7 linked regions of the Ovis aries genome follow. The protein of the gene in region 1 interacts with the protein of each later gene in a biochemical or structural test. Links are inferred from orthologs where the notes say so. Each region holds a gene or a part of one and is shown in the gene's direction. Other genes may lie near its edges. The genes, in order: SNCA, VAMP2, FYN, ENSA, SNCAIP, GBA1 and APOE.

Evidence for each region.
Region 2: the proteins of SNCA (region 1) and VAMP2 form a complex in vitro, tested with the Homo sapiens proteins (3 studies listed by BioGRID and IntAct). The link is inferred for Ovis aries from reciprocal best matches to the Homo sapiens genes SNCA and VAMP2.
Region 3: of the proteins of SNCA (region 1) and FYN, one has a biochemical effect on the other in vitro, tested with the Homo sapiens proteins (3 studies listed by BioGRID). The link is inferred for Ovis aries from reciprocal best matches to the Homo sapiens genes SNCA and FYN.
Region 4: the proteins of SNCA (region 1) and ENSA form a complex in vitro, tested with the Homo sapiens proteins (2 studies listed by BioGRID, with this or other methods). The link is inferred for Ovis aries from reciprocal best matches to the Homo sapiens genes SNCA and ENSA.
Region 5: the proteins of SNCA (region 1) and SNCAIP form a complex in vitro, tested with the Homo sapiens proteins (3 studies listed by BioGRID and IntAct, with this or other methods). The link is inferred for Ovis aries from reciprocal best matches to the Homo sapiens genes SNCA and SNCAIP.
Region 6: the proteins of SNCA (region 1) and GBA1 form a complex in vitro, tested with the Homo sapiens proteins (2 studies listed by BioGRID). The link is inferred for Ovis aries from reciprocal best matches to the Homo sapiens genes SNCA and GBA1.
Region 7: the proteins of SNCA (region 1) and APOE form a complex in vitro, tested with the Homo sapiens proteins (2 studies listed by BioGRID and IntAct). The link is inferred for Ovis aries from reciprocal best matches to the Homo sapiens genes SNCA and APOE.

The regions. Positions count from the first base shown.
Region 1 is NC_056059.1:35,535,541-35,539,587, forward strand, and holds the start of SNCA (alpha-synuclein), read left to right. Parts: upstream 1-1,247; coding exon 1,248-1,368; intron 1,369-4,047. UniProt on the Homo sapiens protein: Neuronal protein that plays several roles in synaptic activity such as regulation of synaptic vesicle trafficking and subsequent neurotransmitter release.
Region 2 is NC_056064.1:27,613,617-27,617,792, reverse strand, and holds the start of VAMP2 (vesicle-associated membrane protein 2), read left to right. Parts: upstream 1-1,376; 5' UTR 1,377-1,478; coding exon 1,479-1,480; intron 1,481-1,984; coding exon 1,985-2,105; intron 2,106-2,571; coding exon 2,572-2,730; intron 2,731-2,823; coding exon 2,824-2,875; intron 2,876-3,437; coding exon 3,438-3,454; 3' UTR 3,455-4,176. UniProt on the Homo sapiens protein: Involved in the targeting and/or fusion of transport vesicles to their target membrane. Major SNARE protein of synaptic vesicles which mediates fusion of synaptic vesicles to release neurotransmitters.
Region 3 is NC_056061.1:26,093,748-26,097,253, forward strand, and holds the end of FYN (tyrosine-protein kinase Fyn), read left to right. Parts: intron 1-2,338; coding exon 2,339-2,547; 3' UTR 2,548-3,006; downstream 3,007-3,506. UniProt on the Homo sapiens protein: Non-receptor tyrosine-protein kinase that plays a role in many biological processes including regulation of cell growth and survival, cell adhesion, integrin-mediated signaling, cytoskeletal remodeling, cell motility, immune response and axon guidance.
Region 4 is NC_056054.1:100,620,821-100,624,902, reverse strand, and holds the start of ENSA (alpha-endosulfine), read left to right. Parts: upstream 1-1,282; 5' UTR 1,283-1,407; coding exon 1,408-1,464; intron 1,465-3,125; coding exon 3,126-3,251; intron 3,252-4,082. UniProt on the Homo sapiens protein: Protein phosphatase inhibitor that specifically inhibits protein phosphatase 2A (PP2A) during mitosis.
Region 5 is NC_056058.1:29,243,268-29,247,221, reverse strand, and holds the start of SNCAIP (synphilin-1), read left to right. Parts: upstream 1-1,154; 5' UTR 1,155-1,495; intron 1,496-1,601; exon of another isoform or gene 1,602-1,662; intron 1,663-1,980; exon of another isoform or gene 1,981-2,123; intron 2,124-3,954. UniProt on the Homo sapiens protein: Isoform 2 inhibits the ubiquitin ligase activity of SIAH1 and inhibits proteasomal degradation of target proteins. Isoform 2 inhibits autoubiquitination and proteasomal degradation of SIAH1, and thereby increases cellular levels of SIAH.
Region 6 is NC_056054.1:105,402,867-105,405,943, reverse strand, and holds the end of GBA1 (lysosomal acid glucosylceramidase), read left to right. Parts: intron 1-229; coding exon 230-454; intron 455-1,140; coding exon 1,141-1,304; intron 1,305-1,671; coding exon of another isoform or gene 1,672-1,706; coding exon 1,707-1,823; intron 1,824-1,915; coding exon 1,916-2,021; 3' UTR 2,022-2,577; downstream 2,578-3,077. Other genes in the region: MTX1 (metaxin-1), read right to left, coding at 2,704-2,918, 3,022-3,077. UniProt on the Homo sapiens protein: Glucosylceramidase that catalyzes, within the lysosomal compartment, the hydrolysis of glucosylceramides/GlcCers (such as beta-D-glucosyl-(1<->1')-N-acylsphing-4-enine) into free ceramides (such as N-acylsphing-4-enine) and glucose.
Region 7 is NC_056067.1:52,423,423-52,427,681, forward strand, and holds the start of APOE (apolipoprotein E), read left to right. Parts: upstream 1-1,459; 5' UTR 1,460-1,619; intron 1,620-3,514; exon of another isoform or gene 3,515-3,570; intron 3,571-3,756; exon of another isoform or gene 3,757-3,998; intron 3,999-4,259. UniProt on the Homo sapiens protein: APOE is an apolipoprotein, a protein associating with lipid particles, that mainly functions in lipoprotein-mediated lipid transport between organs via the plasma and interstitial fluids.

The DNA.
Region 1 (4,047 bases):
TCTCTCTTCCCACTTAAATAACATTTGGGAATTGTTTTTTAAATTTTTTAAGTGGGGGTGGGGGAGAAATTGGAGTTCGTGGAGCCGAGGAAATCTGGTAAGTGCTTGTGGAACTAACTGGGCAGCTTTGGAAGTCGTGGAGAACACCTGGTGGGAGAAGAGTCGTTGCGGGCGCCCCGGGGCGCGCGGGGGTGGGGTGGGCGTGCTGCCGCGAGGACCAGCTGTAGTCGAGCCTCTCTCAGAGGTGAGTGCTTATCCCTAGGGTGAGCGTGAGGAAAGGCAACTGACCTGTTTGCCTCCTGCTTCGACTGCTTCCCTCTTCTCGTCCTCAGAGGCCGAGAGGTCTGGATTCTCAGGGATAAGCTTCTCCTTTGGGAAACGCGAGGATGCTCCAGGGAGTATGAGTATTCAACTTTTGTTTGTCGCTTTCCTTAACCGCCCCCCGCCTCTAGTCCGCCCTCTCTGTTCTCTCTGTGAAGTAAACAAGCTATGTTTGGCAAATCGTTAAGTGGGAGCGCTGAGAGGGCGAGTCAACAGGTGATAAGGGGTTAACAGGTGCGGCGCAGGGTAGGGGGCGGGTTCCAGGCGCTGAGAACGCCCCCACGGGTGGCTGGCGCGCCTCCTGAGGCTTCCGTGGTTGTGAACTCGCGCCCTCCTGCACGCTCTGGGTTGATAGCCCAGGGTCGGGTGCATGGTTGGGTGAATTAGAGCGAGGGCGGTGGGCTCGCAGTTGGCCTGAGGTTCAGCCACACCCAGAGTGAGTGGTTCCTTCCCTCCCCTATTCGTGATTGATCTGTTAGCTGCCTTTTGGAATGTAAGCGTGTCCCTGACCCCCTGCCTTCAGGTCCCTTTCCTTTTCCTGTGATGTCTTCTAAACGCACTTCTAACTTATACTGTCACCATTTGGACCCTGGGAAGTTAAAAGAGGAGTCTATCTTTCCGTGCAATTCCACTTCGGAAACGCGTAAGAACAGCTCATATGATTCATCCTAATCCATGTTTAGGCGGCTAGACTTTATCCAGCCAAGATGGATGGGAGATGCTAAATTTTTAATGCAAAAGCTAAGAAAAGCCTCCTTTGTCCAGTGGTTGAAATGGAGGTACACTTAAGAGAATCTCACTCTTTTGAGGATTCTACTGATCTTTCAATAGTTTTTACTTTGGGTGGTTCTAATTTTGTTTTTTACGCAGAAGTTCTTAAAGTGTATTTTGTCTTCTCCAGTGTGGTGTAAAGGAATTCGTTAGCCATGGATGTTTTCATGAAAGGACTTTCAAAGGCCAAGGAAGGAGTCGTGGCTGCTGCTGAAAAAACCAAGCAGGGTGTGGCAGAAGCAGCAGGAAAGACAAAAGAGGGTGTTCTCTATGTAGGTAGGTAAGCCCTAAATGTCACTTTGATATTTATTTGGGATTGATGGGTTAGGATGATTGATGCTTTAAATGCTGGTATTTCTCACCACTCCTCAAAGTGATGGGCTGAATCAGAGGTGTGTGTAAGTAGGTGAATGTGTGTGTTTGAGCTAATATACAAAGTGGGGCTATTTTGTTTTTCCAGACTATTTAATTTTGCAGTAATATTTAGGACTTTCTTTTTTTAAATGAATGTTTCTATGCATAAGTAACTATAGCTCTGAGGACACTTTTAAAAACTCAGTCTCAGAAAATATTCAATAGTATCTTAAAATCAAACTCCTCCATGAGCTTTTGATTTATCTTCATGAATAATATATGCTAACTTCAGTGTATTCTAATTTAAAAGTAAGACGTTGATATAATCTTGAGATATGTAAAGAGAGACCTACTGTGACTCTAAAAAGAAAAGGACAGACAAGTCTTTGGAGTTACTTCTTGTGACCACTTGGTAAGTTGGGGACTAAGCTCAAGAAAGTGCTTGAAGGCTGCTAATATCTCTGAGACATTTATATAGTTCATTTATCAAATGATACAATAAATTAGATGCTTACTGTTTTTCCTTGTTTATAAATTCCCACATCAGAGTATTCTTGCAGTGAAGTGAAAGTTGCTCCATCCTGTCTAATACTTTGTGATCCCATGGACTGTCCATGGAGATTCTCCAGGTTAGAATACTGGAGTGGATAACATTTTCCTTCTCCAGGGGATCTTCCCAACCTAGGGATTGAACCCAGATCTCCCCAGGGATTGAACCCAGGTCTCCCACATTTCAACTGGATTCTTTACCCGCTGAGCCACAAGGGAAGCCCAAAAATGCTTGAGTGGGTAGCCTATCCCTTTTCCAGAGGCTCTTCCTGACCCAGGAATCAAACCAGGGTCTCCTGCGTTGCAGGCAGATTCTTTACCAACTGAGCTATCAGGGAAGCCCTACTCTTTTTTTTTAATCTTGAACTGTGTTAGGTTGGGTGTTGTTTTACAAGTCACCTGGAATTCTTTGGGTGAAGAAATAGGCATACACATAGACACACACTCATCTATAGGGATACAAACGGGCACATGAGCATACACTCACACACTGCCCATTCTCTTTTCTCCTCTGAGCTTTTCCTCCTTTTCCTCACATTCTCTGGTAGCAGGTGTAGCACCAGTAGCCAAAGGATGAGTAATAAAGTGGAGGATGAGCATAATGGATTGTGTAGAATACTCTGTCTATGTCTGTGGGGTGAAGGAAAGCTATATCGTCTCTTCAATAGAGATGGACTGGAGAAAAGTTATACTTGGAATGATTTTTATGAATATTTCTCATATTTTTTCTCACTGTTCATAGACTTTTTATTTTGGTTCAATCTTACCACAAACCTCTAGTTAAATTACTCTTTATCTTAAAATGTATTTTCAGAAAATCATTGAATTGAAAGATCTTACAAGAGGGAAAAGTCAATGAGTTAAACTCAGTTTTTTTCTTGTGAAATGTGGATTGTATCTTTTTAGGTGGAATTTGGAATACTGAATCAGTGACATTTAGATAATCAGTATTTTTATATTTGTCCTCAGTGTTCCAAGTTGTACAAGTGCATGCTTTGTAACCATTCCTTGATTTCAGTTACTTTATAGCTTAGTTACTTTTAAGATATTTTTAGTTGGATAATATTGATTTATTAGTTTTGAATGAGTCCAAGAACCACTGACTATTAAATTAACATGGTGCTGTTTTCCAGGTAATAAGCAGGATTATCATCTGGAAAACATTGTACTTGTTTTCATTTTCACCCATGAGTTTGGGCAAATAAAATAACAATTTTTTAGAGATTAATTCTGTTGTTTTCTCTGAGATTATTATATGAAATTTCAATTTGTTTATGTATACATATTTTAAAAAATAATCTTCAGTGTTCATTATGGTATTTAACAGAGTGCATTCTATATACTATTTATCAGTTGATATTTTAAAGTCAATTAAAAGTTGAACACAAATACATAATTCAGGATGAAGTATGACCTTGTGAAGTTATAGTACTACCAGGTTTTGGCAAGCTTTTTCCCTAAAGGGGTAGTGAATAATTTTAGGGTATGATGTCTGTTTCAGCTGATCAGCTTTGCTCTCCTGAAGTGAAAGCAGCCATAAACAATAATTAGGGTGACTATGTTCCTATAAAACTTTACTTACCAAAACAGCTGGAGAGTTTATTTGGCTCATAAGCTATAGTTTACTGACTCCTGATAAAGTAGGAAAAAAATGTAGATTTGATGTCAAACTTGAATTCCAGTCCAGACTACAGCACTTTTTAACCTCTAGGATAATGGAAAGGTACTTAACATATCTAAGCATCACTTTACTCATTTGTAAAAATACAGTTTGAATACATGCAAGTACCCTGTAGAGTTCTTGTGAGAACATCATAATAAAGCCGAACCTATAAGTAAAAAGGCATACTTTTAAAAAATTAAAGACTTAATTTTTATGTTTTAAATTAACAGAAAAATTGATATATAGAGGTTTCCCATGTACCCCAAACCCCACACATGCATAACCTCTCAAATTACCAACATCCTTTACCAGATGGTACATTCATTACAACTGCTGAACCTACATTGACACATCATGATCATCCGAACTCCATAGCTTCCATTAAGGAT
Region 2 (4,176 bases), on another chromosome or scaffold:
GGACCCATAAGCCTGCGCCATATAAAAGATACCCAGAACAAAGCCCAGGTGCTCAGCCTCAGGAGGCAACTCTGCTGTGCCTGCACCAGTGCGGAATAAACCTTGCTGTTCCACATCTCCGAGTTTTGCTTGTCTCTTGCCTTCGCCACGGTTTCTATAACAGGGCCACTGGGCCTCATTCTTCACTCTTGAGGCTTGTCACAACCCACCGGACAGGCAGCTCATTTACACCCATCGCCTCCTTCCTGAGGGGCCACTCCTGCTGGAAAGAGCACGGTGGGTGGGTGAGAGATGCTGGGCCAGTTTAGACGACCTAAACAGAGACCAGGTGTGGAAAGGGCTGTGGATAATTCCCTACCATGTCTTACATCTAGACATTTAACAAATATAGGTATAGACTCGACACACCTAATACATTTTGGGTCTAGAGGTAGGACAGGAGCTGTTATGTCACACGCATGAGGCTAATCCTTAGGTAAAGTAGTACCAAGTCCCTGCGTACCGCAGGTGCCGCCCTTGCCCACTTACTCTCCATCCCGGTAAAGAAAAGCCAAAACAAAACAAAATAAAACAAAACAAAATGCGTAAGCCTTGTCCTTTAGCCCTGTGCCTGGGATCAGAGGTTGAGCCCTCTTCCGGCTGCCAGGGTAGCTACTCAACTCTGGGTCAGAGCTAGGTTTCTGCCAGTCTGAAGCCACCACATGAAGCGGCCCCACAGGGCAGCGTAGTGCCCTTCTCCCGGGTTCCCAAGCTTGCCCCACCTCAGACAGGCCTCGCCTGCCAAGGAACCCTGGTCTGAACCTCAGTTGCGAGGAGGGGGTTGCTATCACGGTTCCCAGACCTCCTTTTGGATAGCCACTCGCAAGGCAGAGGGTTGAGGATCAATTCCCACCACTCCCAGGATCCCAGCTATTCACACTGCCTCCGACCTGCACTTGCTCCTTCTGATTTCCAACCCCCCTGCTCCTTCCAAATGCTCAAGGCTGCTCAACCCGCACTGGGACGTGGGAGCAGGCTGGGACCTGGGGCTGCGTGGGGTGCGGACAGGTTGACGGCTTTCACCGAGGAGGAGGATGTGTTTGGGGCTGAAGGGCGCCTCAAGGGCCAGGCGGTGGGGGCAGGGGGACCGCGAGGACCTCGGGGAGGGCTGGGGTCAGACCCGGTGGGCTAGTGGTGGGTGTAGGGAGCCCTGCCACCAGGCTCAGGGTTCGCAGGCAGCGAGGGAGAGGCTGGGGCCAGGCGGCGCCGGACCCGCCACCTGGCAGGCCGCGATCCCCGCCCTCGGCGCCCCGCCCCCGCGGCCCGGCGGCCGACTAGTGGCCCGCCGCGCCCCGCCCCCGCCCGCAGTGCCCGGATGTGGGTGACGTGCGGCCGCCATCTTCCCGTCCCGGGCAGCCAGCGCCAGTCGGAGCCAGCTCGAGCCTCCGCTGCCGCCGCCATCACTGCCGCTGCCAAGTCCTCCGCCCGCTGCCCCCGCCATGTGAGTCGGCGCCCGCACCTGCACCGCCTGGCCGGCACTGGCCGCCGCCCTTAGGCCCAGGCCTGGGGAGGGCTCGGGGTTCGACTCGCGTCCCCCACGCGCCCCGCGTCCCGAGACCAGGCCGGCGCCTGTGACTGCGCGCGGGCATTAGGAGAGCCCCGCGTCCCGGGCTGGCCGCGCGGAGGCTGACCGCGAGAGGGGGCGGACTCCCCATCTGGCCGCTCCGCCTCTATCATCGCTGCTGGGTCCACCCCAGACCGTGTCTGTGAGGTCGCCCTCGTTTGACAGGCGGGGAAACTGAGGCCCGAGGGGGAGGGGGCCTCCCTCAAGGTCACGCAGCAGCTCGCCCGCGGGCCCGGACGGAGGCCAGGGCTCGCATCGAGTGGCTTTCTACCCGGCAAGAAGGAAGGGAGGGACGGATGGAGGGACAGGCGGATGGGCGGAGCCCTGGCTGCGGGGCCAAGGGCTGCAGGCCTTGGTTCTTAATCCGTCCCTGCCCCTCAGGTCGGCTACCGCTGCCACCGCCCCCCCTGCCGCCCCGGCTGGGGAGGGAGGCCCTCCTGCGCCCCCTCCAAACCTCACTAGTAACAGGAGACTGCAGCAGACCCAGGCCCAGGTGGATGAGGTGAGTGGAGGTGGTGGTGTCAGAAACAGTGGGAAGGACCCTGAGGGTTGACAAACCGACACGGGGGTCCATTTTGGGTTGGGGGGTGATGGCAGTTCATGTTTGGGTACGAAAATATACCATGGCCCGTCCTTGTCAGCGTGCAAGTATGGGAGGGCCCGTGGGGATGTTGGCCTGGCTAACCTGAGGTGTTTCACCCTGGGTGGATGCTCTGGTGAACGGAAGGCTGCTTGAGGCTCAGTAAATAAAGAGTGGTGCTGTGACATCTGAGCAGTGTGGATACCACATGCCCCTGCTGTGTGCTGCTTGCATTTCTCTGGTGTGCTAGGCATGTTCTGTATATGTCCTTGGCATGTTAGCCAGGCCACATGATGCCTGTTCCCTGTGTGAGCTCATGGTGTGTGGAGGAGTGCCCTTTGAGATGGACCTTGGCACACACACCGCTGCCTTGTGGGCCTTCCCTCAGGTGGTGGACATCATGAGGGTGAACGTAGACAAGGTTTTGGAGCGGGACCAGAAGCTGTCGGAGCTGGACGACCGTGCCGACGCCCTCCAGGCGGGGGCCTCCCAGTTTGAAACTAGTGCAGCCAAGCTCAAGCGCAAATACTGGTGGAAAAACCTCAAGGTAAGGGTGGAGGCAGGTGGGAGGACAGGGAGGAGGTGGGGGGTGAATGGGAGTATCCTGGTCTGTCTCACTGAGCCTCCCCCTCACCCCCAGATGATGATCATCCTGGGAGTGATTTGCGCCATCATCCTCATTATCATCATCGGTGAGTAGGGTGGGAGTGGCTAGGGCCCTTTCATGGAGAGGGTTCCCCTGCGGTTTCTGGGTTTTGAAGGTCATTAACCTAGATTTTAGTATTTAGGAAAAAGTATATATGGTTGCCAGTAGCAGTTCTGATTCATCTAGAGCCCCAAACCTTGAAGTTGTTTAGCTTGCACTTTGCCTGATTCTGGGCCATTTCTGTTAAGATTTTCAAAAACAGGAAGAGCATAATAGACTGGGAACCTGGAATTGGGGAGTGGGAGAGCAGCAGAGACTGAGGGGCTTGAGAAACAGCTGGGAAGCAAACCACCCCATTGTTTGAGAGCTGTGGTCTCAGAGGATTAGGGATCTGTGGCCCCAAGGCCATACCATGGAGTTGAGGAGATCTGGGAACCAATCTGTGTAGATTCCTTGCTTTACAGGTGAAGAACCTGAGGCCAAGAGGGGAAGGGATGTCACCTAGCTGGGAGGTGGGGAAGGTGGGAGCAGGGCTGGGCTGACACACTGCTTTCTCTCTTTCTCTTCCTCCCTTCTCCGTCTTCTTCCTTCTCTTTCCCTCTCCACAGTTTACTTCAGCTCTTAAACCCCTGAGGAGCCTGCCCTGCCCAGAGAAGGGCCTCTCCCCCCAACCCCCAGCCGCTCCTCCACCTCTCAGCCATATCTTCCAGCCCCATCTCCCCCGGATCCGTGTGTGTGTGTCGTGTGTGCGCCCCCTTGTAAATAGCCAGCTGTTATTTATACATATATAATATTATATATATTTGGTCTGTTTGTAGTTTTATTACTAGAAGATTTTTTCCAGTTGTCCTTAACACCCCTTCCTGAGGTTCTCATCACTTCCTTTTCCTCTTTCCCTCCTTCCCTTTCCCTCTCTTCTTGACCAACCCCAAGTCTCCTTCATTTGCATCTGCTATGCAATAGTCCCTCTTCCTCTCCTTCCCTTGGATTTAGCTGACCCTTCCTCCCACCCTGGCCTTCCCCATACCTCCACCCCCACCCCCCACCCTCACCCCCATACAAAAAAGACAAAAAGCAACTGTCCAGGCTTCCCTAGGTGCATTTTCTTTGCATCATTGGGAGGCTCTGAGACTGGTCCCTCTTGGTCCTAAGAATCCCATGGTCTTCTGGGAGCTTCTAGCATGTTAATTAGCATCCATTTGCCTACTGACATTCCTTTTGGTTTCCTTTCCCTCCCATCACTTTTCTGTTCAGTCTTTCAACCTGTGTTTCTTTTTTTACTGAGGATTTAGTCCCTGTTGGTCCTTGTATCACACTTTCATTTGCATGACATTACTTGCAGGTGGT
Region 3 (3,506 bases), on another chromosome or scaffold:
GGCCTCATGCTCTCTTCCTAGCCTTTCTGAGCTCCTGGAATGTAGTGGCTGCTGTCCACTCCTGCCAGAGCTTCACAGCCAACACTGGACAGGCTTCACAGTCAGACTTGGTTTTCTTTCTCGAAAGTCTATATAGTGCTTAGACCATAATTTGTACAACACCTTAGGAGGGTCTTGGGCTGCACTCTGTGTTCAGACACATCCTTAATTCTTCAGCAGTATGTATAAATGAAGAAAAACAGTCGAGCACCTCACACCAGGTCAGGTTTTATGGCCAAACAAGGTGAGTTCAGATCAGTTTGCTGCCAGGGAAGTTCCCAGAACTTGTGCTTTGCAGAGCTTGTTGGATTGGGGGTTGTGGATGAGGAAATGCTGGTCCTTGTCCGTTTGTCCAGAGCACTGCGGGACCCTCCAGTGGCAACCTCAGCATCTCCCCTTGCTTCCAACCGACCCCCCTGCCCCACCTGATTTATCAAAATGAGTTTTTCAGTGGTTGGAAGAGGATGTAAGGTAATTAACTACAGAGCTGACCAGTCATCCAACTGAAGAGAGCCCCTGTGAAGTCAGGCATGGCGTGGAGGAAGGGGACCCAGATTCAACTACCAAGCCTCTCTCACTAAAATAAGGGTCACTGCCAAAATGTGAGCAGAGTTATGTTAGAATAATTAAATTGAAGGCCTACTTCAACACAGCAGGAATAATACACAGATTTTATCACCTCAAGGAATTACAATGGCAGAGAATAAGAAAGCATCCTGAAAGGGTTTGGATAAGCATGTGACTGACAGGGCTGTGGTTGACAGTCATGGGAGCTGGAATCAGTCCAGCTCCAAAAACAACAACAAAGAGAACTGGCAACAGATCCCAGAATCTGCGCGATTCTGGGGGACAGGGGGACAGGGTTGTGACCTGGCCCGGCTGCTCTGGCTGGGTGGTTCTACTCAGCGGGTTGCCGTCTCCTCCAGAAGCTGCTACATGCACACACTATGTCCTGCTGATCGGAGCTCTGAGAGCCAGGGGAAGAATTCTGGGTTTCTGAATGGCTGAAACTCGGGTTTTTGCTTTTATAAATTAACTGGGTCAGAAGCTGGAGAGGATTCCAGATTATAGGCTCAGGGCCAAGGAGCAGCCAAAACATACAAGAGCTTGGCAGGCGATGGCAGAACACGATACGGCAGAAAAGGGAATCAAACCAGAGAAGAGAGCCTGGCAGTGATTGAGAAAGGGGTCAGGGCATTCAGCCCCCCTATCCACCCCTTATGTGGTATTTCCTGTTCTGTTGAGAAGGCCAGTGTGCAGGAAGGCTGCACTCTCCAGAGGGCTGGCAGTCTCCCAGAACGTCTCCTGTGAGCTCCAGGCATCCCGAAGCCTCTGTATCGGGCAGCTCCCCCAGAGGGTCACAGAGGTCTCCGTGATTGATGGCCTGTCCGAAGTCATCAGTAAACAGTGCCCTGCCTCCCTGTCAGAGTCATCTTAACCCAGGGCACCTGGGGGTCACTGGGCTGGACGGTGCCCAGACTGATGGCGTGATGGCGGATCTCGAATGGCTGAACACTGAGAGTTTGTCCAGGCACGAGGACAGCCAGTTTATGAAGTACATCAACAGAGCTTATAGGTCCTGTGAACAAAGGACAGTTTAGTTTTCATTCCCTGGATTTGTTTTTATCATTCATGTTTTTGTCAGTGTAATTGATGTATAATTTACATACAATAGAATTCTACAGTTTTAAGAAGTCCGTGAGTTTTGACAAACATAAACAGTCACACCTCCACACTCAGGATATAGAACATGGATTGGCAGCCTACAGCTTCTAGGCCAGATCTGGCTCCTGCCCTGTCTTTGTTTTCTATTTTCAGAGTTGTAGAAAAATAAATAAAATGGAGGATATGCGGCAGAGATAGTATGCAACCTAAAATCTTTACTGCCTGGCCTTTACAGGGAGGGTTTGCTGATACAGAACGTTTCCATCACCCTTGTGTTCCCTGCGGCCTCTTTGCAGGATTGCCCTCCCCGTCACCCCTGGCAACCACTGATCTGCTTTCTATCACTATAGTTTTTGCCTTTTCTAGAATTTCATATAAATGAAATCATGCAGTATGTCGCCTTTTGTGTCTGGCTTCTTTCGCTTCTAATGCTTTTGAGATTTACCCTCCAGGGCTTCACATGTGTCAGTAGGGGAGTCCTTTTTTATTTCTGAGTGGTGAGATAGCCCATTGAAGACAGGGTTCACCTCTGGGTGAGGTGGGCGCACTCAACATGTTTTAACCACCTGTAGGCTCCAAGGAGAAGAAAGAGAAGACATAGGGGCGCCCTCTCTCATGGCCCTTGTCTTTGCAGGCATGAACAACCGGGAGGTGCTGGAGCAGGTGGAGCGCGGCTACAGGATGCCCTGTCCACAGGACTGCCCCATCTCCCTCCACGAGCTCATGATACACTGCTGGAAAAAGGACCCCGAAGAGCGGCCCACTTTCGAGTACCTGCAGGGCTTCCTGGAAGACTACTTCACCGCAACAGAGCCTCAGTATCAACCCGGGGAAAACCTGTAAGACCTGGGTCTGCAGAGAGAGGCCTGGTCCCAGAGGCTTCCCCGCCCCCTCCCCATTAGCTTTCAATTCCATAGCCAGCTGCTCCGAGCAGAGCAGCCAGAACCGTCCAGGATCAGATTGCATGTGACTCTGAAGCTGACGAACTTCATGGCCCTCATTCATGACACTTGTCCCCAAATCCGAACCTCCTCTGTGAAGCATTCGAGACAGAACCTTGTTATTTCTCAGACTTTGGAAATGCATTGTATCGATGTTATGTAAAAGGCCAAACCTCTGTTCAGTGTAAATAGTTACTCCAGTGCCAACGATCCTAGTGCTTTCCTTTTTTTAAAATGCAAATCCTATGTGATTTTAACTCTGTCTTCACCTGATTCAACTAAAAAAAAAAGTATTATTTTCCAAAAGTGGCCTCTTTGTCTAAAACAATAAAATTTTTTTTCATGTTTTAACAAAATCCAATCAGGACAGGTGTTTGGTTTTTTTTTTTTTTCTTTTTTTTATAGATATGAATATATATAATCTATATATCCCTGTGCATACACCATGTGGGTGCTAACATGGAGACCGTGGCCAACCTTGGCCACAAAGCTTCAGGACCCAGAATGAGGATCTGACTGGAAAATCAACATAAAAGCACTGGTGGTGTTCTGAAAACCAGTGGCCTCACTTTTTGGCTTTTGCAAAACATGTTTGTTTGTTTGTTTTTGGACTGTACTTTTTTGGTTCATGACTGTGCCTGTAGATGGCTGTTACTTTGACTCTTATCAGGGCCCAAGCTGAATTCACAATTTCTTTTTCCAGTATTTGCTTCAACTTACTATGATTTGTTCTTGAAACTTAAAAGTGAGCCTCTTTAAAGCAAGCAAGTGGCCAGTACCACCAGGGAAACTAGAGGATGGATACCACACAAACTTCTTGTATAAAAACACGAATGCTGAAATGTTTCCAACGTTTTTTAT
Region 4 (4,082 bases), on another chromosome or scaffold:
ACCCCATCACCTAGAATGTCCTTCCATCACCTTTACCTGGCAAAATTAAAGCTGATTTCAAATACACAGCTCCATCATTAAGTCTTCTTTTCTTGGGGGGTGGGGGGTCGGGCGGGGGGGGGGGTGGGGTGGGTAGGGTGCTTAGTCGCTCAGTCCTGTCCAACTTTTGCAACCCTATGGATTGTATGTAACCTGCCAAGATCCTCTGTCCATGGGATTCTCCAGGCAAGAATACTGGAGTGGGTTGCCATTTGCTGAATGTGAACTTTCCTTTGAACCCCTTTACCACTTTATTAACATTTTAATTTCAAGCTGACCAGATTTTGCCTTGTATAATAATCTGTGTATTCTAAGATTCTCAGATTTTCCCACTAGAAATGTACTTAATTATACAGAAAAATGAACAGATAGCCCTAAAGCTGCCACAACAGGTTCCCTGGAAAATTAAAATTTAATATCAATTCTTCAGTGTTAGTATTAGACTGTTTTAATATAAAAATGACGTTTTTTAACTAACACTCTAGGAAGATGAGTCTCTTTTAATCTCGAAGATTTGGGTACACCTAGCATACTGTGAAAACCCTCTATGGCAAAGACTGCCTTACTACATATATATTCCTTGTAAAACTAAAACAGTACCATCTTCAAACACTCAATATGTTCGCGAGTATTTACGCAGTGTTTACCATGTACCTAGACCTGTGCTGTTTCAAGGAGCTCAGTTTCCATGGGATGGCACTGAACGAATAAAAAAACTGTACGTTAAGAGTTAAACGATGAAACGTAAGCCATCCATATTCTGCTGGACCATTCAGTCTCTCCATTCCACACCCTAAATGACACACTGGAAGAGTGAGGAGGACCACTTTAAAGTCCACTCTGACCTTCCTATTATTTTCTGGAGATTGATAATTTTCTGCTACTGCGCGAAGCTTAATCCTCTTCACCTGGAAATAAAAGGTTTCCAGCCTTTCGCTCTCCAATTCGAAGCTCAGAAAAGCCCCCTGGGGGCGACGAGGTAGGGCGGCAGAAAGTCTGACCCCCACGAAAGGAGCGAAAATGCCAAAGCTACCAGCACCACCCCTTAACCTCCCCCACGTGCTTCCAATTGGTCCTTGTGAGTCACTCTCTTCCCAGATCGGCGTTCCAGCTTGCCCGTCGCCTCCATAGAACCCACATTTAGCCAGCAACTATTGGTAGATCGTTACGTCATTGCCCTATCCACAGCTCCCACTGGCTCCCATAGGAAGGGGCGGTCGCAACGTCACAGGCAAGGGCCGCCATTTTGACTGAGCAATCCTAGTGACAGGAGCTGAAGAAGCAGTGCTGGTTGTCCCGTTTCCCCTCCCCCTTCCCTTCTCCGGCTGACTTCCCGGGTCCCCCACACTCCACAGTCCCGGTCCCAGCATGTCCCAGAAACAAGAAGAGGAGAACCCTACGGAAGAGACCGGCGAGGAGAAGCAGGTGAAATGGAGGGGGTGCGGTGGGCGAGTTGGGGGCGATTGTGATGGGGCGGGAGGCGGTCTCCCACCAGTGCGGATTGGTCGCCATGGTCTCGGGCTCTGCAGGGGTTGGCCACGTCTTGCGTCATGCAGGGTGAGTTTCAACAGGGCCTGCTGCTTTGGCTCTGGTTAGTTGGCTGGGTTGTCAATCAGTATAGTACCCTTCCTGATTGGTCAGTAGACCTACTGCTAGGCCTATTGAAGCTGTGCTGTAATTGGCCGAATCTGAGCGTGGGGCGGGTGTTTGAAAAGAGTGGGTGAATGAAAGGGGGTTGGTGGTCTCCGGATGAGATGTATGTTATAGGTTAGTAGGGGTAAAATGAACCAACAGCCAGGCTGGGTCCTGCATTCTGTATCCTAAAGATACAGGTCAAGATATAGACGTTTAAAAAGGGGTCAGCACCGGGGGAAGGGAGAAGAGTAATTATCATGGCTAATTTAAGACTGCAACTTTCTCAAAGAGATATTTTGATAGCTGGAGATGGTCTGTTGGCCCACCTTCAAAGAGGACCTTACAAAATTGAAGAGGGCTAGAGTTTCAAACAGAATAATGGAGATTAACCTAGGAAAGACCCCTAGAGAGTCATGAAAAGAAAGACGCCACCATATTTCCCCCCGACTTCTAAGATAGTGGGGACTTATTTCACCCGCAATTCTGTGATGAAAACACGGCAACTTCTGTAGGTGTTTTGTATTTGATTTATAACATTTAGTACTGGACTCGGGTTCATTAAATACCCCTGGGTTATATATGGGCCAGGTTTTCAAGGCAAAGGAATGCAATTCCACTAAAAAGAACCACAAATTGGCTTCATGTCCTTTTTTAAAAAGTCAAAGAAGAGGGCGACAGGGCCCACAAAAAAGGGAGGCAGAGAGTAACAACAACAGTAAGAGACCCTGCAAGTTAATTGGGCTCTTGGCTTGTTCCCAAACCTCCATCACTAGGGAAGGTGTTGATTTTTTGACAGAGGTGGTGGGTAAGTACTAGTGAACCCACTATATCTTAATTTTCCTGAGATTAATTTCTGTTTACTTGTCACCTTCCTACTACAATGTTTATGGAAACAATGCTGTCCATTATTGCTTTCCATTACTGACCATTGCTAAGGTGCTTTCTGGAGAAGGCCACAGAGCTAGCCTCCATAGAGAGATTTATCAAAAGCCTAGCTTAGGAGGGAACATCTCAACAGTTATCCCTTTCAATTTCCCATTTGACCTGTACTGTATTTTACAGACAGCTGGAGATCTCCCTACTAATCTTGCATCACCAGAATCCCTGCTAGCTCTGTTCTGTCTTTCCTAGCTTCTGTTCTAAGTGAGCTACTGCTTGCTCTTTGATTAAAGTATTGTTCTTCAGTATTACCTTTAACTCAGTACTCACAGGTCACTGGGGTGGTTCCCTAGGTGTAGTGTGACAAACAGTCACACTTATATTTTTTTCTCACAATACAGTCATCTTGAGCTTCAGGGATTTGAACAAAGGTCTGGCTTTATTTAAGAGTGTGAATAGCATGTTTACAAATGGGTAGATCTCCAGGAAAAGGTAATAGTGTAAAAGTTAGCAGATATTGGAAGCATTGCTTCTCAGTGTTTAATTTTACTGGCCCCATTTGTTTCCTCCAGGACACCCAAGAGAAAGAAGGTGTTCTCCCTGAGAAAGCTGAGGAGGCAAAGCTAAAAGCCAAATATCCAAGCCTGGGACAAAAGCCTGGAGGCTCCGACTTCCTCATGAAGAGACTCCAGAAAGGGGTATGGAGCACAATCTCTTACCCTCTTACTTTGGAACCAAAGGGGCTTTAGGGATGAGATCTGTGGAAGTTCTGCTGAACACTGATATGAAGGTTTTGTTGTTGGGAAGTAGTAAAGAAAAATTAGAAACTTGGTAAAAAAAAAAAACCCACAAACCCAAGGCAAATACTGTAAATTCCTGAAAGGGTATCAGTTATTTTCTGATTTCCCTCAGGATACTAAAGCTTAATGGAGGGGCATGTAGGAATGGCCTTGGAAGAGTGAGGGAAGGATGTCAGAGTCTGGAATGCTGACAGCCTCCAGATGTTTGCCTGTTTGGATGGTGGGAGTTTTAGGACTGCAGATGTAGGATTAGAGCTAAATTTTGAGGTGCATCATTTCCGAAGAAAGGCCCAGAAATCTGTCCTACAGATTTCCTCAACTTGAAATGATTTCTTCAGGCCCTTGAAGTTAGCACCAGCCATTAACTATGGTGCCTGAAGAGACTCACTGGAAAAGTCCAGAGTGGTCCTTCTCCCAAGGGAGAGTCTTACCTTCATAGCCTTCTAGCTCCTCTTCGGGTTCCTCAGTCCTCAGAGGTACCTAAAGCTGACTGAGGGGTTGTCAGTCGTTAACCTGCAGTGTATTTCTCTATGCAGATGAAATGGAGAGGGAAACAGATCTCTGTGGAGAATCCCAGTTACTGAGTCTTAGTCACAGATGATGAAGTGATGCTGATTTGCAGCTTACCTTGCTGTAAGCAAGACAGGCGTAGGCAGGCTCTCCCAGCCATGGAACATGTGTGGGAGTGGTTGGAGTAGGAGGAAAGTACATTATCCTCAGAAACAAGCC
Region 5 (3,954 bases), on another chromosome or scaffold:
AAAGCAGGCTGTCAAAATATTTAAGAGGATGGCAATAAAAGTGTGTTGTGTATAGAACATATCAAGGGTGACACCAACTCCATCCATATCTACTGGATGGAAGCAAGATGTGCTTTTCTGAGAGTTTATAGTAGGCAAAAAAAAAAAAAAAGGCATTTTTATTTTAACCAGATGTGAAAGAATTAAACCCAATATTTTCAAGTATTTTTTAGTGCCATATGATGTCATCTGATTTTACATTTTCTGAGGGATAGTGGGTATTTTCAAATTGTGAAGCCACTTTCCGTGTATGTACTTAAAGTCTTATATATGATGAATTACAGTAAACAAATTACCACACCGGCAGAACATACTTTCGGCTGTTTATGTAAGACAGCAGAGAGAGAAATTTAGTTTCTCAATTGGAAATGGAATCAAAAGCATGTGAAATGTCTTCTGCTGGCCTTCAAGGCAGTCCTTATTTCAGAGACTATGTACTCCTCATCCAAAGAGGTCCAGGGCAGGGAGGGCTGGGTGTGTCCTCGGATAGTACAGGGGCCTCTTCCCTGCAGCGCCAACACAGCAGCCCCCGGACCTCGCAGGGACTACACTAGTCATCCAGGCAACCACAGTTTTTAAACAACCATGCCCTTCCTTTTTTACTGGTAATATGTTTTCAGTGACAGCCTTACACATGCTATACATCCCACTGCCACTAACCCAGATGGGGTCAAATTTCCCAGGATCGCTGCGCCACTCTTGTCCTCCGGAGTTGGCAAGGGAACCAGGCGGCCCCTAAGCAGACAGACGAGAGAACTTGCTTCCTCACACTTTGCTCTGGAGCAGCATCAGACAAGCGGCCACACCCAGGAGCAGGACAGTGGCCCTCAAAGGCTTTGCTGAGTGAGCTTCTCTGAGCCATTTCTGCCGGGGTGGGGAAAGAGCCTTCTTAAAAACCATTTAAAGCTTTCCAAAGGGCAAGAGCGAGACGATCGTGAGCCAAGGTTAGCATCAATGGTTCCACTCCTCCAGACTTCACTTCGGAAATAAGGAAGGAAAGAGTCAGTCACCAGTGCTGACTGACGGATGCCTCGTCCAGCAGCTCCCCGCCCCCTCCCAATCAAGACAGAGCTGCTTAAAGTTCATATTACTAAAGGGCCGTCGGTGTATTAAACGTTGCTGAATTAGAAACACCATCAGTTCAGACCAAAGTCTCCTCCATCCACCACCCATACTCGAGCACGGAACCTTCCGGGCAAAGACCCCTCAGCCTGCCTTCCTTGGCGAAGTCCTCGAGGGTGGGCGAGACCGGGTTGGGGGCGGGCGGGGAGGATTGGGGTTTAGGACTGTGCCAACGCAAAGATCCTCTGCCAAGGGGCTCCTGAAGCAGGGCCGTTTCCCAGGACCGTGCCCATGTTCCGTCGCCCCCTGCCCGAGTGTCTCTGCCCGGCCGAGGCTGGAACCCTGGAATGGGTTGGGGACCAATGAGATGGCAGCGGTTGACGCAGGGATCACGGTGAGGGGCGATTTCATCTCCCGGGGGTGGGGGGAGAGGCCGCCCAGCGCGGGTGGGGGGCGGAGGCGAAAGGGGGTAAAAAGTGCGAGGGGAGGAGATCGGAGACAGCCAGTTGAGCAGCAGAGACACAGAGGTGCGAGGGCCAAAGGTACAGGAGAAAAGAGCAGGTTCGCGGGCGCGGAGGCTGCGCGGCCGGGGCTGGGGGCCGCCGCGCGGCGGGCGCCGCGGGGCGGGCGGGGGAGGGTCGCCGTCAGTCAGGCCGCGCGGGGCTCGCGGGCCGGGGGGCGGGCGCCGGGCGCGCGGCGGCGGCGGGAGGGCGCGGCGGCCGCGGCCGTGCAGACCGCGCCCCCGCCCGGCGGTGCGCCGCGCTCGGCGCCCCGCGTCCCTCCGCGCCAGGTCCGCGCCCGCCGCCCCGGGGCTGCCCTCCTCCCGCTGCCGCGCGCCCGCTGGGGGGCCCGGGGGGGAGCGGCGCCGGAGGCCCGGCCGCATTGTGACGTAGCGGGGCCGCGGCAGCGCGGCCGCCGCCCGCCGGCTCCCGCGGTTCCTGCTCCCGCCGCCGCCGTCCATCTGTCCGTCGGTCCGTCCGTCCGTCCGCATTTTTGAGCAGCCGCAGCGCCGGGCGCCCGGGGTGAGTCCAGGTCCCGGGGTGGGCGCCGCGGGGAGACGGGGGTGGGGCGCGACGGCGCGAGCGACTGAGCCTTTCCAAGTTTGCACCGGGCGACCCGGGCGGGGGTGCCCCCCGCCCCGCCGTGAGCCCCGGGGGGGCCCCTTTGTGCGGCGAATCCCGGCGGCTCGAGTGGCGGCGGTGCCTCTGCAGAAAGGGTTTGGGGGGAGGTCTCTATAGTAACGTTGGCGGCGCCTGCCAAGCGGCTTCTCTTCTTCTTGAGGGAGGGGGGAGGAGCCCCCACCTCAGGTTCCAAAGGATTGCTCTTTTCCTTTGCCGGTTTCGTGTGGTTATTCTTCTTCCTGCCACCTGGGATGGTGTGGGAGGCAGGGATGGGCAGTGCCGAGGCTCCTAAGAACTGAGGTAACCAGGGACGAAGTAATAGTCACAGAAACAGTACCGACAATAATAGTAATCGCGAAAGAGGGACGCCTGGGGTTGCCGCGCGGCCCAAGGGGAGCCCCTCGCTCTTGGGCACCGCCGCCCGCTGGCTGCCCGGTTCTCTAGGGCACCACCCTCGGGCGCTGTCCTGTGTTCCCCGCTCGTCCGGGTCAATTGTAGCCAGGAGTGTTTCTCTCCTGGCCTCCTTTCGCGGTGATGTCTCTCATCTGCAGGTGGTAAGCGAGGTGACTGGTAATTTGGCTATTGTCAAATGCCACGTTTTGTTTATTTCATTTTTACGAAAGGAAAAGAGGGAAAATTATGAGCCATTACTGGCAGCCATACAGTTTCCACAGGAAATACTAGCATTCTTTGAGGAACACGCTACTGCTTGCGGGGAAGAAAGTCTTTAGGAAACAAAAAGGCAACAGCATTGTTGCTCATTTTCAATGGACCGCTAGGAGAGGGGAAACGTGGTGTTTTTTCCTGTGGGAACAGGCTTGCCTTGGGAAAGTTAATTAAGGAAGCTTACTGTCGGTGGCCCGTTTTTCACTTGCTGGTGGCTGGACCCCTCTCCTCCTGGCTATTACCGACAACTGTCCATCAAAGAGCCGCCAGGAAGGGAGAACCACTGCAGGACAGTCTCACCACACACCATGTGCTGTGGAGCCCAGCCAGGGTGCAGTGTGCAGAATGAAATAAGGGCTGTCTGGGGAGGTTTATGAGGATTGCATGTGTGCAGAGGGTGTCAGTTCTCCAAGGTGTCACTCTAAACACATCATTTTCAAGCATGGCTTTCCCTGCTGAATCTGCAGAAAGGCAAAAACCTATTTCTCTTATTATGGAGCAGACGTCCCAGTTGGGAATGGGTTGAAATCTGTATTTCCTTTGTATATATTGAAATTTTCAAAGACAGAGAGGATAAGGTTTAGGAAAGCAGTATGCTAATGGGTTCACATCTAGAGAATGTCTGTTGGGTACTTCTGATGCATCTCAATGTTAAATTACGTTCAGCCTGGCTGGAGTCTAGGGAGACACCCTTCAGGTGTCCTTTATTTGAAAAAGTGTGACATTTTGTTCCCATTGCAGAAGTCTCTCTGGAAGGCAGTATTAACTGAAGATTACCCAAATATGTAGGAGTTTCAAGTCTAGACACAGAAAGAAGATGGTGCTTCTCTTAAGGATCTTTGGACATCTCAGTTAGAAATAAAATATAAAAAAATAAATAATACAGCTTTGAACATAAACTTCATTTTGTCTAGAGCAAGCATTTCATGAGGAAAGGTTACAATATGGTAGATTTGAAATGATGCTGCAGTTATTGATTTGACATTTGCTACTGTGTATGGATGTCCAAAAGGAAGGGGCTAAGGCAAATGAGTTTCTCTGCCTACTGTGTCATAGCTCTGCCACT
Region 6 (3,077 bases), on another chromosome or scaffold:
TGGCTGGGGCCAGGTGTCCAGGTGGCACTCCTGGGATGCTGGGGGTAGTGTTGACCCCCCTCTGGGTCTCCAAAGCCCAAGAATCTCCTAGGTTGTCACTTTAACCCCCTCTAAGTTGTGTTCATCCTGCGCCCACCTCTCAAGTTCTAGTGCCTCCTCCAGATCCCTCGTGCAGGACCCAGGCTCCATGGTTCTGTCTCCCCAGTAGCCCTTCCCTTTCTCTGTCCAGGTGCTGGCAGACCCAGAAGCAGCTAAGTATGTTCATGGCATCGCTGTACATTGGTACCTGGACTTCCTGGCTCCAGCAAAAGCCACCCTGGGGGAGACGCACCGCCTGTTCCCCAACACCATGCTCTTTGCTTCAGAGGCCTGTGTGGGCTCCAAGTTCTGGGAGCAGAGCGTGCGGCTGGGCTCCTGGGATCGAGGAATGCAGTACAGCCACAGTATCATCACAGTGAGCCACCTCAGTCTCTCCTTCCGCACAGCAGACCACCTTGGGCCCCTCACTAGTCTCACCAGAGGCTGACAGGGGGCCCTCCTCTCCAGCTTTTCCCCAGCTTGCTTACTCTTGGGGGCAAAGTTTGGGGATCTCATGATGCCCTCTATTGCCTTCCCTTCGGAGATCTGTGCACCCCATCACCTTGTTCTGAATGCTTGAGCCGTTGTAGCTGCCTCAGATTTCTGAGTTTCTCTGGCGATGCCTCTGCCCTCAAAACCCCTCCCTCCGTAGATTTTTAGTGTTTGGCTGTGCTGGGTCCTCGTTGCCGCTCGGGCTTTCTCCTGCTGTGGCAAGCCAAGGCCCCTCTCCAGCCTTTGTGCACAGGCTCATTGCAGCGGCTTTTCTTGCTGTGGAGCACAGGCTCCTGGCATGCCAGCTTCAGTAGCTGTGGTGCATCGGCTCAGTTGCCCAGTGGCATGTGGAATCTTCCTGGATCAGGGATCGAACCTGTGTCCCCTACATTGGCAGGAGGATCATTAACCACTGGACTACCAGGGAAGTCCCCTCCTTAGATATTAAGGATATAAAACACACCCCTCCCAGGGCCGAGGCCCCACAGCCCATCTCCCCCATGTGACACTTAACTGTATTCACTGGGGGCCCAACGTGGAACCTTTGTCTCTGCCCTGTTTCCACCCTAGAACCTCCTCTACCATGTGGTTGGCTGGACCGACTGGAACCTCGCCCTAAATCCTGAAGGGGGACCCAACTGGGTGCGCAACTTTGTTGATAGCCCCATCATTGTGGATATTGCCAAGGACACATTTTACAAACAGCCTATGTTTTACCACCTTGGCCACTTCAGGTGAGTGGAAGGTGGGCACTCCGACTCCATGCCAGGCCTAGCATCTCCTGCACTGGGCTTGGATCACCCACTATGAGGAGGCAGGAAGGTGTGGAGAGTGGGAACCTTGAGAGGCTTGCATCTGTCCCTTTTGCACCATGTAGGTAGGAAGTGACTAGATGGCATTTGAGACAGACAATTCCTCAATGCCTGATGCTGAGGTTAGGAGGCAGGAGGGCAGGGCATATCTAACCACTTGGCTGGAGGCCTGGAGAGTTAGGGCACATCTTAGGAATGGTTCTGGGGGCCGGTGTGGGGGTGGGCAGGGTGGTATAGATGGTAGGGAAGGTGACTTCTCAAGTGATAGACTGATGGAAGCTACCCTCAGGGCTGGGGTCCCTGACAATCCTGTTCCCACTTCAGCAAGTTCATTCCCGAGGGCTCGCAGAGAGTGGGGCTGGTTGCCAGCGAGAAGAGCGACTTGGACACGGTGGCACTCTTTCGGCCTGACGGCTCTGCGGTTGTGGTCGTGCTGAACCGGTGAGAGCAGCGGGGCCTGGGAACTGGGATGAAGATGAGACGGTGGGCTTGGCGGGATCACACACTCCACTACTCCTCCCTACCTCCTCCAGCTCCTCTAAGGATGTGCCTCTCACCATCAAGGATCCCGCCGTGGGCTTCATGGAGACTGTCTCACCTGGCTACTCCATTCACACCTACCTGTGGCGTCGCCAGTGATGGAGCTGATACCCACGCTTGCGCCTGGGCTCAGCTTGGACATTAAAGGGACACGGTCAGCCCACATGCCGTCTGTGGCTACAGAGGGTACAGCAGGACCAGGGGGAGCTTAAGTGACGTAAGCCCAGAGGCAGTGGTTTGGGTGACTCATTCTCCCCTCTAGTTGGTGCCAGGGGCTGGAGGGCCCTAGGGAAAGGATCAGGAAGCCCCAGTGGTCCTCCACCCCCGTGCTTGTGTGAGCGTGTGCTATGCGCTGGTTGCCTGTGGAAACTGGGCCCCGGCCCAGGGTGAGCTCACTGTCTGTACAAACACGGGTGGGGGGTGGGGTAGATGGAGAGAGAGGTTAAGGAAAGGAAGAGACGAGGGAAGCCGGACCCAAAACTGGGAACTGTTTGTCTTTCTTGGAGATGCAGAACCAGGCCTACGCAGATGTCCGCACCCAGGCACAGGCAGTGAAAGAAGCCAAGCACCAGAGGGTAGACTCGAGCACCAGATGGCCCCCTGGTACCAGCTAGGAAAAATGGCAGCTGCTTAAAAGACAGAATGTCTGATCTCAGTCCATGTGAGCAGTTTTATTTCGGGGGGGTGGCACCCCATTTCCACCATACCAACAATGGGGAAACACAGGGGCCTCTGGAATGCATGACAGTAGAAAAATCAGTCCTGAGAGCATGAGGATAAATCATTCCTCTTCATCCTCCTCAGCTATGCCCAGAGCCTGGGTGCCTGGGGCCCGGGCAGATGGTGCCCGCTGGATGGAGACAATGCCACTGAGCAAGGCGTAGCCGGCCATGGCTGCCAGCCCCGCCAACACGGTTAGGATCTGGTTCCGGCGCCGGTGTGGCTCCTCCTCAGACTCTGGGTTCGCTGGTGTCTGGCGTGGAGGTGGTGCCTCAGCTGAGGGGAGAGGAAGGGAGGTGGGTGAGAGGCTGGTTCCTGGGTCCCTGCCCACTCTCCCCAGGACTAGCACCCCCCACCTCCCCACCCATCCGCCCCTTACCTCCTTCCCAGGGGAAGTACAGGCTGAGGATGTGGGTGCAATAGGCACAGAGATTG
Region 7 (4,259 bases), on another chromosome or scaffold:
CGAAGCCAGGGGCTCTCACATCATTATAAACTCAACATTTGTGTCACAGGCTTATCCTGATATTAAAAGAAAGCTCCAGAAGCTGGATGGAGTATTATCAATGTCCAGCTCCCAACTAGTTGAAATTGCAAACAAAATATTCAGAAACAGAGATGTGGAAGCCAAGAAAGAAACTGAAAAACTGAGCAGACCAGAGATTTGCAATGCTAGCCGTGGCCTTGGGAAGGCCTGCCAGGCTGCCCACGAAAGCCCCTCCCTCCTGGAGACGAGACCACTCCCTCAGGAAACCTCCACGAAAGCCTAGGTCCACGTTACAGCCCAATCAGCGTGCCTGGTGCCGAGGGTTTGGCCGCTGGAAAAACCAATGTCCTAAAACCACTAAAAGCCGGGAATCAACCAGTACAGTGGCAAGCCTTGACGGATGAGAGACTGAATAGGGATGCCGGGGCTCAGAGACACAGGTCCACAAGAGCCCATGATAACATTAAAAGCAGGGGACCAACTTACTGACTTCATGGTGGATACCGGAGCAGGATTGTCAGTAGCAACTGAACCCACGGCACCTCTCTCGAAAAAGGCCACTGCCATAACTGGGATACCTGGAAAGGAAATGATTAAACAATTCTGTAAGCCCTAAAAGTGCCAGATGGCGGGGGCCACCAAGTGACTCATGAGTTCTTATATATCCCTGAATGCCCAGTACCTCTACCAGGAAGAGATCTACTCTCTCAACTGGGATCACAAGTGACCTTTTCCCCCCACGAACACCCCACTTTGCACATTGACCCGCCCAGCTACTTACTTACTCTCCCTCTCAGTTACCCCACAAGATGAATGGAGGTTACATGAATATACTGAGAAAAGACTAGAGGGGATGAACGGCCGGGAGGAAACACTGGCTCAACAACTGCCCGAGGTCTGAGCAGAAGGAAACCCCCCTGGGCTCGCCAAACACCATGCTCCAATAATAATAGAACTTAAGCCCAGTGCCACCCCGGTTAGAAAACGCCAGTATCCATTGCCCCTGGAGGCTCGTCTCGGCATACTGCCACATTTATATAGACTGAAACTGGCCGGCATCCTGATTGAATGCCAATCAGAATGAAATACACCAATCCTGCCAGTTAAAAAGGAAGGGGGACAGGACTATAGGCCAATACAAGATTTAAGGCTGGTCAGCCAAGCTTCCATGACCCTGCAACCCACAGTCCCAAACCTATATACCTTACTCAGCTTCCTCCCTCGAAGTGCAAAAGTTCTATCCTTGTCTGGACTTAAAAGATGCCTTTTTCTGTACACACCTAGCCCAGGTATCACCACCAATTTTTGCTTTCGAATGGGAAGACCCAACAGGGGGCGCCAAACAACAACTAACCTGGACCCCCCTCCCCTGAGGGTTTAAAAATTCTCCAACCATTTTTGAAGAAGCCCTGGCTTCGGACTTAGGCGCATTTCAGCCAGAAAAGTTTGGTTGTTGGCTGCTGCAATACGTGGACAATCTGCTCCTGGCCGCTGAGAACAAGGATGATTGCTGGGAAGGAACCAAGGCCTCGCTGGGACTGCTGATAGAGGCTGGTTACCCGGTCTCGAAAAAGAAGGCTCGGATCTGCCAGGAGGAGGTGAGGTATCTGGGATTTGTTCTAAAGAGGGGCACAAGGCTGTTGGGCCAGTCCAGCGCCATGCCTCTATCTGGGATGGACGGGCTCCCACGGCGCGTATCACCTCTACAGAGGGGTGATATGACTATGAGGTTTTTTTGCATCAAGTAAGACAACAAAAATCAAGGATAGAATGGCATTAGACATCCTCACCGCCTCACAGGGAGGAACCTGTGCCATACTTAAGGTTGAATGTTGTGTATGGAACCTGTGCCATACTTAAGGCTGACCGTTGTATATACATTCCTGATTTATCTGGCACTGTAACGACTGCTTTGGGTGACATGAGGGACCAAGCAAAAGCAATGTCAGATGAAAATATTCCCTTCTGGACCTCGGTCCTATCTTGGGTAAAGGGTGACTGGTGTGAAACTGCGCTCACTGTCATTTTAATAGTTCTGTTATCCGGCCCTTGCACTTTACAACATGTTGTTAACTTTGTAACCTAGAGACGAACCTCACTTTCCCAGATCGGTGTTAGGAGGCCTAGGGTACAATATATTCCTATGAGTGATGCTCCCACTGAGAGTTAGGAGCATCAAGAGAGAGGAATAAAAGAGGAAAGTGGGCAAAGCGGACTCCATCTTGGCTGCAGGACCCCATTTTAGACTTCTTGAAAACTTTGGACTACATGCCGGGGTGTTCTCCCAGTGGACTTTGAGCTTTGTGCCTGGAATCTATAAAAGCAACATTCCAACTGAAAAACAGACCCCTGGATAAAGGGACTCCAGAACTTGTTCCTGGACTTTCTGTCGCCGAAAAGAATATACTAATCTACCCCAGAGGAAAACAAATTGTTATCTGCACAAAACCTATTGATATATGTTAGCCTAATTAGGTGTCTGGACTAATATATGAATCATGATTTAGCCCCTTCACATTATCCAGGCTAGTTTTGAGGAATTCGGGGAGGAGGGTTTGAGCATGTACACTTAGGGTATATAAGGTTGTCACAAAAACTGACCGGGTCCTTGGCTAAGAGAAGACTCTGCCTTGGGCCCACTGGTGTAATAAACTGCACTCCACTATTTGCGTTGTCCTTCTGAGTGAGTTTACTTCCCAGAGAGCAGAGAGTGTGGCTACAACACTCTCAATTCAGGATGCCCGTCTGTGAAACAGCTGGGGCTCATGAACAGGGCTGCAAGGGAGGGAGGGACAGGAGTGTTCACTGTGGCCCAGCACAGAACTGAAGTCCAACATGGGGCCACTGTTTGCCAGCTAACCCTACTTGTTCTCAGTACACACAGTAGCCTGTTGCTTCACCGAATGACGGTGTTAAGTGCAACTCTTTTCCTGGTTTTGTGGACCAAGAAACTGGATGTTCAGAGAGGCTGGGTCGTTGGCTCAGGGTCACACAGCTGACAACTGGCAGAGCCTGGATTCAGGCCTGAGCAGTTTGGTTCTGGAATCCACAGTCCTAAGCAGGCACAGTCCTGAAGCATGCTTCAGGCCCCACTGAAGGAACAATACACAGTTGGGACAAATGCTGGATTTTCAGGTCTCAACCGGGGAAGGGGGCTCAAGAGAGGCACTCTCCTGTGCCCAAGGGAAGAGGGCAAGAGGGAGCTCATGGTAAAGTCCAGATTGCACTCTCAAAGCCTGGGCTTGTAGCAGATACCTTGTACTGTCCCCAGAACTCCTATCCCATTTCTATCCAGCCAGCCAGCTCCCTTCCCCCTCCCTACCCAGAGTCCCAACCCCCTCCTTCCTCTAACCAGGGATTTCAGGCCCCCAGTCCTTTCCCCAAATTCTATTCATCCATCCGCTGGAAAAGAGAAGGGCAGGGGATGGGTGCTGTGGGCAGTGGCCTGTTCCAGCCCCTTCCATGCCCACTGTCCCAGCCCTCACCAGCTCACCTACCCACCAGGATGGAGGAAGCCGCCTGAGTTACTGGGTGAGAAGTCATCTTTTCAAGGGGGCTGGGAGTGGGGGCTGCCAGGCCTCCAGGCCCCACCCCCTCCCCTCCTTGCTGTGTGTGAAGGGGGAGGACAGCCCACCTCGTGACCTGAGGGGGCTGGCCCAGCTTGCCCCAGCTCAGGAGAAGTGGGCGGGCCAGGGGGGAGCCCTATAATTGGACGAATCTGGGATCCGTGAGTCCCTGCTCAATCCCGGAGGCGAAGGACGCGGTTTCCGGAGGCGAAGAGCGCGGTGAGAAGCAGAGCTGGGGGCCACGGAGACCAGCTCAGGGCTTCTGTGGGGGACGGGCTGCGGGAGAGGTGGACGAGGTGACGGTCCGACGCCGCCCGGACCAGGACAAAAGCTTGAGCAGAGGAGGAGACCAGAGACAGGGGACTGGACCTAGAGGGGTGGGGAGCAGGCGTATCCCGTTTGGACTGGAAGGTGGGTTCAGGGGAGCAGCTGGACCTGCAGGAAAAACCAGACGAGAGATAGCAAAAACCCACTAACTGTTACTGCTGTTTACTGAGCACCTACTGGATGCCCACAATTGTCCTAAGATTTTCGGTAAGGGAGGCTCAGGGGCGGCGGCACGGTAGCTAAAGCGTGGGTTGAAGGACTTCTAAATGAGGATTAAATTAGCGAATATGCGGATGACAGCGTTTAGATGTGAAGTTGGAGCTGAGAATGGGAAGATACAGAGGG